Macaca fascicularis: one gene and its partners. The protein of the gene in region 1 purifies or fractionates together with the protein of each later gene. This does not show direct contact. Links are inferred from orthologs where the notes say so. Each region holds a gene or a part of one and is shown in the gene's direction. Other genes may lie near its edges.

Region 1 (3,747 bases):
GACAGGCAAACGTTTCTGGTAGGTTTTTTTTTTTTTTTTTTTTTTTTTGAGAGACTGAGTCTGGCTCTGTCGCCCAGGCTGGAGTGCAGTGGCCGGATCTCAGCTCACTGCAAGCTCCGCCTCCCGGGTTTACGCCATTCTCCTGCCTCAGCCTCCCGAGTAGCTGGGACTACAGGCGCCGCCACCTCGCCTGGCTAGTTTTTTGTATTTTTTAGTAGAGACGGGGTTTCACCATGTTCACCAGGATGGTCTCGATCTCCTGACCTCGTGATCCACCCGTCTCGGCCTCCCAAAGTGCTGGGATTACAGGCTTGAGCCACCGCGCCCGGCCTCTGGTAGTTATTTTAATACTGTTTGGATCGCTAGTACAGACTCAGTTTTTTTTTTAACCCACACCATGTTAGTTTCTTAATTCTGGACTTTCTCAGTGTGTCAGTGTAGAAGCAGCTAACGCTTCCAATGTACACAACCCAGACTTTTCATGACCCCAGCCTGACTTCGACGCTGCAAGCCTCCCTCTAGGTTCCCCGGGGCGAGTGCCCGAGTGCGTGTTGGGCTCCCGGCGGGGCTCCAGGCCGGCCCCGACGGACTTCCCCGCCTTTGCCCAGTCGTGCCCCTCCGCGGAGGCTTGCCAAGGTCTTGTCTGCTGCACTTGATGTGTGCAGCTCAGCTTTACTGTGTCTGGGCTAAGCCCCACAGTTTCTTTTACAGAGTGATTGTCCAACTTCAGGCATCTGGGTCCGCGAGTGGTGGGTATGGGCCGGAGTGGGGAATCAGCCTTTCCAGCAAGGTCCCTGCAGATGCCGCGGATCTGAGAAATACGCTTTGGAAGGCCTGGCAGTGCGTCTAGATCTGACAGCTGCTCTGCATGGGCCTGGCTCCAGGCTGAAGCAATAGTGGGTCAATGCAAAATCGTTCTCTCAAGTTCGGGAAGCAGAAGCCAGAGAGGGAGACTGGGTAGGTGCGCGCTGGTACCGCCGAAGCGTTAGCTCTGGCTTCAGTGCGCGGCCTGAGGAGGACGCCAGGGGGCAGCAGCGTCACGCCCGCCCGCCCAGGACGCGCTTCTGAACGCGCAAGCGCAGTAGGCCCAGTGCGTGCTGTCCTGGGGTATAGCAGGGGGCGCAGAAGCTTGGGCTGCAGGTAGGTCCTGGGGCGAGGGGCGAGAGGGCGAAGCGGTGAGGGGGCGTGTAGCTGGGTTTCTCGAGGGGCCTGTACGTGGCCCGGCCCGCAGCGCCGGCCGCCTGTGCGGAGGCTCCCTGGGAGGCTGCGCTTGGCCTGGGCGGCCGGGTCCACCGCGCCCAGCCCCCGCCTCCGCGTCCAGCCCTGCGCGGTAGCGGGAAGTTAAAGGACCCGAGAAGGGCCAGGCGAGGTGGCTCCAGTCTGTAACCCCAGCGCTTTGGGAGGCGGAGGCGGGAGGATCGCGTGAGCTCAGGCGAGAGCAGCCTGAGCAACATGGCGGAACTCTTGTCTCTGTAAAAAAAAATTTAGCCGGGCGCGGTGGCGCCGCCTGTAGTCTCAACTACTCGGGAGGCTGAGGCGGGAGAATCGCTTGAACCCGGCGGGGGCGGAGGTTTCAGTGAGCCGAAATCGCGCTACTGCACTCCAGCCTGGGGGACACAGTGAGAGACTGTTTCTATTATTATTACTTTATTATCATTATTATTATTATTTGAGACGGAGTCTCGCTCTGTCGCCCAGAATGGAGTGCGGTGGCGCGGTCTTGGCTCCTGGGATCACAAGGCGTCCGCCACCACGCCCAACTAATTTTTGTATTTTTAGTATAGACGGAGTATCACCATGTTGGTCAGGCTGGTCTCGAACGCCTGACCTCAGGTGATCCGCCCACCTCGGCCTCCCAAAGTGCTTGGATTACAGGCGTGAGCTACTGGGTCCGGCAGAGGCTGTCTTTGTTTAAAAAAAACAAAAACCAAACCAAACCGAAACAAAAAACGAAAAACAAAAAAACCAGAAAGGACCTAGGACTCTGTCTCGGCTCTTTGCCTTTGGGTGTTTATTCTGCACGAGATCATTGTTGCCAGGAGGTGTTAAGTGTAATCATATTCTTCTCTTTTTTTAGAAAGCAAAATTTCACTCTTTTGTTGCATAATCTTGTCTTTGTCACCCTTTGCCTTTACTGTAGGACCCTAAGGCTAAATAAGCATTAAGAATATTTAAAATAATCCTTCTAATGTACCTTGTGCTTTATTGGCACAATGGAATTCTACTGTAAATTGCATTGGATGACACTACTCTGTGTCTTCCCTAGTTGTAGAAAATACCTTGTAAGTCGGTAAAAACTAGTTTTGTCCCTTTTCTTTTTTCTTTAAGCCAAGCTTTTCTCTATCAATAAGCCTGCCTATCAGTGTCAGAAATGCTTTGTATATCAATCGTGCCTGAATTTCTCCTGCCCAACCTGCCCCACCATCTTTATTCCTTAATGTGCAGGCTGTTTTCAGGACCAGTAAATTTCAGCGGTTTTTGCTTATTTCTGGACACGAAAGTTCCTTCAGCCACACAGCCTCATGCTATGCTCTGGGCGGCCTACTCCAGAATATGCTCTGAAACAAAAAAGCAAATCGGGGCTGAGGTGGGCTGAAGTCTTCTTTAAGAAACAGGCAGTCCCAGGGTCCCCTAGACCAGTCCCTAGGTGACCACACTGGGTTTGATTTAGTTCAACTCCTGAGCATTGTGGTATTTAGGGGAAAAATGGGCTTGAGTCCAGAAAACTTGGCTCCTCTGTGTATAGTGACCTTAGACATATTACTTCACCTCTGACTCAGTTGTCTTATCTGTGAAATGGAAATAACAACAATTATATCCACTTCACAGAATTGGTGTGAAGTTGACACTGTATAAAAGTCAAATGAATTTTTGAGTTTTTTTTTTATTTTGTTTTGGTGTTTTTTCTTTTTGCTGAGAGAGGATTCAGAAGTGAATGTGAGGACTTAGGGATACATAAAAGGTTAATGGGGCATATAAAATTTGTATTCAGCAAGAAATGCATTAAAGGTTTTCTTAGTAATGCGGAGGGTCCAACACAGATTAGAAAATATGCATTTGTAGAGTCCCACAGAGTTTTGTAGCTGATGTTGGCAGCCTTTGAGTGGAAATGAAAAAGTGGACAGGGCAAGTTACATGGGGCTGGTGAATGATAAGCAGATCTGGGTTTATGATGAAGCTTCTAGTCTCTTCACTTGCTCAAATACCTTCCAAAACTCTGGCAAGGGGCTCAGCACTTTTACATTCATAACTGTGTATTCTTAAAGAATTACCACTCGTCGTCCCAACTTATATAAGCTTCAGGCCCCATAAAATCTGAATCCACCCCTAGTGGCAAGGAAGGATTGGTGGGAGGTTAGGGGTAAGGAGGGTTGGAGGGTTGAAAGGATTTACCACAGGGTTTGAGCTGGGAAACTTGGATTGAAGAAGGAGGTGGCAGATGAGGGGCCTCAGAGAATGGGAGCTGTGAGGAGAGGAAGAGCGGATGCGGTGGGGTGAACACAGGAGAGGGAAAGCAGCCTTCATGGCTGAGGCCATGAAGAGGGAGAGGCGCAGAGTGACCAGGCAGTCGTGTGTCTTTGCTGAGTACCCACTGTGTGCCAGGCACGGGGGTGCACTGGTGAACAGGACAGACAGGCAGGCCTCTTGGTGCTTAGAATTTAGAGGAGGCCGGGGCCTGGGTATCCCAGAAAGGGAGCCTTTGAGGACTGAGGAAAGCTCAGGCGCCAGAGAGTGGGGTGCAGGGAG
Region 2 (3,747 bases), on another chromosome or scaffold:
CCTATCAAATTACACGCAATGGAAACATCTTAGTCCTCAGAGCAACCCTGGGTGCCAGGCACAGGCAGCTGTCATCAGGCCTATTACACAGGTTTAGGGTGAAACTTGAAAGTGTACACGGGAAAGTAAAAAAGCAATGAAAAAACCATCTAGAAAAAAATCTTTTCTGGATTTCACGATCTAACCTTTTGCGTGAGACCCCAGAAACCGGATGACTCCGCTCAGAAGCAGTCACATTTGGAACCATATTTATCTCACAATAAATTAAGGGACAAAAAGTCCTTCAAATAGAAAGGAACGGAATAAACGGAATAATTTTTTTTTTTTTTTTTTTTTTGAGACGGAGTCTCGCTCTGTCGCCCAGGCTGGAGTGCAGTGGCCGGATCTCAGGTCACTGCAAGCTCCGCCTCCCGGGTTCACGCCATTCTCCTGCCTCAGCCTCCCGAGTAGCTGGGACTACAGGCGCCCACCACCTCGCCGGGCTAGTTTTTTGTATTTTTTTAGTAGAGACGGGGTTTCACCGTGTTAGCCAGGATGGTCTCGATCTCCTGACCTCGTGATCCGCCCGTCTCGGCCTCCCAAAATGCTGGGATTACAGACGGAGTCTCGCTCTGTCACCCAGGCTGGAGTGCAGTGGCCGGATCTCAGCTCACTGCAAGCTCCGCCTCCCAGGTTTACGCCATTCTCCTGCCTCAGCCTCCCGAGTAGCTGGGACTGCAGGCGCCCGCCACCTCGCCCGGCTAGTTTTTTTTTTTTTATATATTTTTTAGTAGAGACAGGGTTTCAAGGGGTTAGCCAGGATGGTCTCGATCTCCTGACCTCATCCGCCAAACGGAATAATTTTTAACTCTAACATTACTTTCTTTCAATTTTTACATAATTCTTATATCTGCGGCGAGTGAAAAGGCTAAAACAAAAGCAAAAGAGACCTCCGCTGCCCAGAACAAAGATGGCCCAGACGACTCCCATGCCCACACGCAAAATGGACGCTGATTATGACGTTCCCTGCAACAATCCTCAACTGGCCCCGCCCCACCAATTTGGAACCCCGCCTCGTAACCCGGAACCCCTCCTCCCCCACTGTGCCCGCGTTTCCGACAGAGGCCTGCCAGTGATTGGCTACTCGTACTATTTACCTCCTCTCGATGTTGCGTCATGCAGTGCGCTGGCGGAACTGTGCGCTTTCAGACCGTAAGGAGCGTGCTGGGAGCCCGGAAGGGAAACTACGCAGCGAAGGTGACTGGGGACCAAGGTAATGCTCCGGCTGGCTGGCGGGCGCCCGGGATCCCCGGTGCTCCTGACAGCCGCCCTCACGGGACCGCTGGGTGCGGAGGGAAGGGCTGGTAGCAGCGGTGCTGCTGGGTGCGTCAGGGCCGGCCTGCGCGTTGGGGTCGCAGTCCTGTGGGTGACCCAGTGGAGAGGGCGGCGGCCACAAGGTCCTGCTCAGGCGCGCAAGGGCTATTCTAGCTGTGCTTCTGTCGCGGGGCAACAAGGTGCTGAGTCATCCTTGCGGCCAGGCCGTACAGCCGCTGCGCTGGTAGCGGCACCTGGGGCGCGGACAGAGGTGTTGTGGGTTGACGTGGAGGTTTGCTGCCAGGTTCTCATCCGAATCTAGCGGGCTGGGTGAACTTTCTCGGGGACCAGGCACCCAAACTCATCCAATGCTCACGGAGGCATAAGCCCTTGGATTAGGGTCGGTAGTATTTTCCCCATTTTGTAGCAAAGACAGACATCTGAGTCTTAGAGATCCACACCCCTCACAAGGTCAATTCTAACGTGTCAGAAGTGGAATTCCCACTCTGTGCTGTTAGGCCACATGGAGGTCACTCTGAGCTGGACCTCTTCGGCCCCCCCAGTGGACTGAGTACTGAGAAAGATACAGGACAGCCATAGGTTGAGATGATGTAATGGCACGAAAGTTCCAAAAGCGCTGGGTGTTTTCCCAAAGGCCAGGTGCCGAGTATTAAGATCCTTCAGTTCAGTTGCAGAGCTCGGAGGACGCTCGGGTATCTTAAAACAATAGTTCTTAGCTTTTGGAGTGTTCGTTAAAACACATATCCTTGGTCCTATTCCTAGAGCTAGAATCATTAGGAGCAAAGAAAGACGCAGGAGCCTACATTTTAAGATGCGTCCGCGTCACTTTCAAGCAGGTAGTCCAAGGGTCAACGCTGTAGTCTGAACACTGGGAATCGTTATGTTACAGATGGGGAAATGGACCCAGAAGAATATCACTTGCCTGAAATTCACTACAAATCATTGGCGGAGATGTGCTGGTAGCCCCAGTTGGTTTGCACTTGTCATTTCATTCTGACCTATCATAGTCACCTCACTGTAGCATTACAGAAACACTATCCGCTGACTTCTGGTTGACCACCCATCTAGTATAATGTGCCCTGGAGCTAAGATAATCCAGTTTTTAGCATGCTTTTCTTTTGAAGACACCATTGAGGGAGTCTAATGTAAGGGAAACCTAGTTGGTAACCGATTTTACTTTGAAAGACTAAATGTCCTTTACGCATTATAGTAGGACATATAGAATAGGTTAACTTAGAATATTTTTATATCTTATGTTGAAGGAAAGTATTATTTGGTATGATTAGCTGAAATTCATATAGTTGGCTTCTTTTAATATCTTTTAGCTTTGTAATGCAGAAGAGCTATTCATGTCTCTTTAGATGACACTATTTCTCTGACCAAACGTTATGTAGATTCTTTTAAATTTTCCCACTGGATACTGGTATGAATCTTAAGCCAAAACTACATTTGTAAAAGCCATCATAGACCCGGGTGTAATCACATCCAGTTAACAGCCATTCTGTGTTAACACATAATTTTTGAAATCATCTATTTTATTATTGGTCAAACTGGGACTTAAACCTAATTTGTTCCTCCATCCTCAGCTGTGTTCTCTGGGATGGGTTTCTTGCATTACCAAGGGATGATTGGGCAAAGAATTCATCGCTGAAAATTAAAAAGGTGGCTGTATTTCCTTTTCTACTAAAAAATTGTTCCTTCTTGACTCTGACTCTCATATGTCCTTCTCTTTATTGGTTAGTGGATTGTTTTGTTTATGTTCTTTTTGTTGTTTTTGCCTTTTTTTACTAGCATTTCAGATCTGCTTGGTAGACCTGGTGCACCACCACCATGTTGGCTGCAAGGCTTGTGTGTCTCCGGACACTACCTTCTAGGGTTTTCCACCCAGCTTTCACCAAGGCCTCCCCTGTTGTGAAGAATTCCATCACGAAGAATCAATGGCTGTTAACACCCAGCAGGGTAAAGATAATCTGAATTTTTTTATATTGCTGCTTTTTCCATTTGTGCCCTTTCTTTTTGGCAGAGTGTGGCTGCTGCCTTTAGTGTGTTATACGTCAATTGGCCCTGATAATATCCCTGTCAGCTCTTTCTCCCCATTAGTTTGTATCATTCTGGTCCCTCCTTATCCCATATGAAAAAGAAAATGAATTTCTGTAACTTTGCTTTTGCTTACAGCTTCTGGAGTTTCTCATTTAGAAAATTTAGAGTACATTGTGAGGGATTGAGAGTTATGTGGTGTAACGGAGATCCTGGAGCACATAGTCAGAAGTTTAAGAACCCAGGGATATTACCAGTTGGCCAATAGCTTAATAAATTATTGAAGAAATTATCTCTTATTTAGATTGATAATCTCTGTCAGATTAGATGAAGGGATGGCCTACCCCTCCACACCTGTGGGCATTTCTCGTTAGGTGGAACGAGAGACTTGAGAAA
Region 3 (3,647 bases), on another chromosome or scaffold:
GCTCTTGTTGCCCAGGCTGGAGTGCAATGGTGCGATCTCAGCTCACCGCAACCTCTGCCTCCCAGTTTCCAGTGATTCTCCTGCCTCAGCCTCCTGAGTAGCTGGGATTACAGGCATGTGCCACCACACCTGGCTAGTTTTGTATTTTTAGTAGAGATGGGGTTTCTCCATGTTGGTCAGGCTGGTCTCAAACTCTGGACCTCAGGTGATCTGCCCACCTTGGCCTCCCAAAGTGCTGGGATTACAGGCATGAGCCACTGCACCTGACCTAATTTTTGTGTTTTTTAGTAGAGACAGGGTTTCATCATATTGTTCAGGCTGGTCTCGAACTCCTGTCCTCAGGTGATCCGCCCGCCTTGGCCTCCCAAAGTGCTGGGATTACAGGTGTGAGCCACCACACCTGGCCTTGTGTATTTTTTTACTAGAGACTGTGTTTCACCTTGTTGCCCAGGTTGGTGTGGCCTCAAGTGATGCTCCTGCCTTGGCCTCCCAAAGTGCTGAGATTACAGGCATGAGCTACTCTGCCTTGCTATAGATATATATTTTCATTTCTCTTGGGTAGATGTACCTAAAAGTGGAATTGCTGGGTCATGTGGTAACTATTTAACTTTTTGAGAAACTGCCAAACCGTTTTCCAAGTCAGCGGTACCATTTTACTTTCCCACCAGCAGTGTATGAGGGTTTCAGTTTCTCTACATTCTCTCCAACATTTGTTTTCATGAGTCTTTTTTATTATAGCCATCTTGGTACTAAGTGGTATCGTGGTTTTGATTTGCATTTCCCTGATGGCTAATGATGTTAAGCATCTTTTCATATGCTTATTATATGTTTGTATTGTATATTTATACATTCGTATGTCTTCTTTGGAGAAATGTCTATTAAAATCATTTGCCCATTTTTAAATTGGGTTGTCTTCATATTATTGAGTTGTAAAGAGTTATTTTACTAGACCCTTAGCAGACATGATTTACAAGAATTTTCTAAGAAGAATTATTTAAAATTTTGCGATTAAAACCAAAATATTTTTAGAATACTCTGTTCTGATCCACAAAGTGGTACTGTACTGTGACCAGCATTGGCACAATTTTTCTTTTATGTTTAAGGGATGAAGATGCCCCTGCTAAGATTCCAGATGAAGAGGCCACAAAACCTGAAGGCTGGTTAGATGATGAGCCCGAGTATGTACCTGATCCAGACGCAGAGAAACCTGAGGATTGGTAAGAACTTCAGTTAACTTTTTTAATTATGTAGGTTGTTTTGTTTGTTTGTTTGTTTGTTTTTGTTTTTTTTTTTTTGAGACGGAGTCTTGCTCTGTAGCCCGGGCTGGAGTGCAGTGGCCGGATCTCAGCTCACTGCAAGCTCCGCCTCCCGGGTTTAGGCCATTCTCCTGCCTCAGCCTCCGGAGTAGCTGGGACTACAGGCGCCCGCCACCTCGCCCGGCTAGTTTTTTTTTTTTTTTTTTTTTTGTATTTTTAGTAGAGACGGGGTTTCACGGTGTTAGCCAGGATGGTCTCGATCTCCTGACCTCGTGATCCGCCCGTCTCGGCCTCCCAAAGTGCTGGGATTACAGGCTTGAGCCACCGCGCCCGGCCTGTTTGTTTTTTTGAGATGGAGTCTCACTCTATCTCCCAGGCTGGAGTTCAGTGGCAGTTTCAGCTCATTGCAACCTTCATCTCCTGGGTTCAAGCGATTCTCCTGTATCAGCCTTGCGAGTAGCTGGGATTACAGGTGTGTGTCACCACACCTGGGAAATTTTTGTATTTTTTGTATTTTTAGTAGAGGCGGGCTTTAACCATGTTGGCCATGCTGATCTTAAAAAGTCCTGACCTCGGAGATCGAGACCATCCTGGCTAACACAATGAAACCCCGTCTCCACTAAAAAAAAATACAAAAAAATTAGCCGGGCGTGGTGGCGGCGCCTGTAGTCCCAGCTACTCGGGAGGCTGAGGCAGGAGAATGGCGGGAACCCGGGAGGCGGAGCTTGCAGTGAGCCGAGATCGCGCCACTGCACTCCAGCCTGGGCGACAGAGCGAGACTCCGCCTCAAAAAAAAAAAAAAAAAAAAAAAAAGTCCTGACCTCAAGTGATCTGCCTGCCTTGGCCTCCCAAAGTGCTGGGATTACAGGCGTGAGCCACCACACCCAGCATAAGTTACCTGTTTTTATGGAAGTCAAACTTAATACTTAAATATAGCCAAGTTCCCCAATTTCAGGGTAGAATTTGACAATTTTAATTATATTTTCTTCTTTTTTAAAAAATATATTTTTCCTGAAAAACTGTTATTACTGGAAAAACAGAAACAGGAGAAGCTGGTCTGATACTGTGAAAACATTTCAGCAGGATCTTGGCAGCCCTGGGCCAGCCAGCTGTTCATAGTCCTGCATCACAGAACCTGTTTATAATTTGTTGTTTGTACCTCCATAGGGATGAAGACATGGATGGAGAATGGGAGGCTCCTCAGATTGCCAACCCTAAATGCGAGTCAGCCCCTGGATGTGGTGTCTGGCAGCGACCTATGATTGACAACCCCAATTATAAAGGCAAATGGAAGCCTCCTATGATCGACAATCCCAGTTACCAGGTTTGTGCCTCTTGATGGTTGAGTTGCTTTCATTGATCTGTTTGTATTCAGATAGAAGTTTTATCTAGAGTCAGGCTGCCAGGTTGGTCATTATGGTTGTTCATTATATTCAAGCTATTGAATTAAAAGCAGAAGGTAGACATCCTAAGTTGAAAGAGAGCTTATTGGGTGAGGTGTTGCAAAGATAAACCTAGAAACTGGAGTGAATAACTTTATGTAACTTTTTTTTTTTCTTTTTTTTTTCTTTTTTTTTTTTGAGACGGAGTCTCGCTCTGTCGCCCAGGCTGGAGTGCAGTGGCGCGATCTCGGCTCACTGCAAGGGCGCGATCTCGGCTCACTGCAAGCTCCGCCTCCCGGGTTCACGCCATTCTCGTGCCTCAGCCTCCCGAGTAGCTGGGACTACAGGCGCCCACAACCGCGCCCGGCTAATTTTTTGTATTTTTAGTAGAGACGGGGTTTCACCGTGGTCTCGATCTCCTGACCTTGTGATCCGCCCGCCTTGGCCTCCCAAAGTGCTGGGATTACAGGCGTGAGCCACCGCGCCCGGCCCTTTTCTTTTTTTTTGAGACGGAATTTCGCTCTTCTACCCAGGCTGGAGGGCAGTGGCGTGATCTCGGCTCACTGTAACCTCTGCTTTCCAGTTTCAAGCAGTTCTCTTGCCTCAGACTCCCTAGTAGCTGAGATTCCAGGCGCCTGCCACCACGCCTAGCTAATTTTTGTATTTTTAGTAGAGACGGGGTTTCACCATGTTGGCCAGGCTGGGCTCAAACTCCTGACCTCGCGATCCCCCACCTCAGCCTCCTAAAATGCTGAGATTACAGGCATGAGCCACCGTACCCGGTCAACTTCCTTTTCTTTGAGACTGAGTCTCACTCTAGCGCCCAGGCTAGAGTGCAATGGTGCAATCTCGGCACACTGCCACCTCCACCTTGGGTTCAAGCGATTCTCCTGCCTCAGCCTCCTGAGTAGCTGGGAGCACAGGCGTGCACCACCTCACCTGGCTAATTTTTTGTATTTTCAGTCGAGACAGGGTTTCGCCATGCTGGCCAGGCTGGTCTTGAACTCCC

Evidence for each region.
Region 2: the proteins of POMK (region 1) and GHITM purify together in Homo sapiens (affinity purification with mass spectrometry; 3 studies listed by BioGRID and IntAct, counting the BioPlex papers as one, with this or other methods). This does not show direct contact. The link is inferred for Macaca fascicularis from reciprocal best matches to the Homo sapiens genes POMK and GHITM.
Region 3: the proteins of POMK (region 1) and CANX purify together in Homo sapiens (affinity purification with mass spectrometry; 3 studies listed by BioGRID and IntAct, counting the BioPlex papers as one, with this or other methods). This does not show direct contact. The link is inferred for Macaca fascicularis from reciprocal best matches to the Homo sapiens genes POMK and CANX.

What each region holds. Positions count from the first base shown.
Region 1 is NC_088382.1:46,639,204-46,642,950, forward strand, and holds the start of POMK (protein O-mannose kinase), read left to right. Parts: upstream 1-1,089; 5' UTR 1,090-1,140; intron 1,141-3,747. UniProt on the Homo sapiens protein: Protein O-mannose kinase that specifically mediates phosphorylation at the 6-position of an O-mannose of the trisaccharide (N-acetylgalactosamine (GalNAc)-beta-1,3-N-acetylglucosamine (GlcNAc)-beta-1,4-mannose) to generate phosphorylated O-mannosyl trisaccharide (N-acetylgalactosamine-beta-1,3-N-acetylglucosamine-beta-1,4-(phosphate-6-)mannose).
Region 2 is NC_088383.1:62,535,617-62,539,363, reverse strand, and holds the start of GHITM (growth hormone-inducible transmembrane protein), read left to right. Parts: upstream 1-1,159; 5' UTR 1,160-1,493; exon of another isoform or gene 1,494-2,900; 5' UTR 2,901-2,976; intron 2,977-3,105; 5' UTR 3,106-3,144; coding exon 3,145-3,273; intron 3,274-3,747. UniProt on the Homo sapiens protein: Plays an important role in maintenance of mitochondrial morphology and in mediating either calcium or potassium/proton antiport. Mediates proton-dependent calcium efflux from mitochondrion.
Region 3 is NC_088380.1:186,592,580-186,596,226, forward strand, and holds part of CANX (calnexin), read left to right. Parts: intron 1-1,103; coding exon 1,104-1,217; intron 1,218-2,423; coding exon 2,424-2,580; intron 2,581-3,647. UniProt on the Homo sapiens protein: Calcium-binding protein that interacts with newly synthesized monoglucosylated glycoproteins in the endoplasmic reticulum. It may act in assisting protein assembly and/or in the retention within the ER of unassembled protein subunits.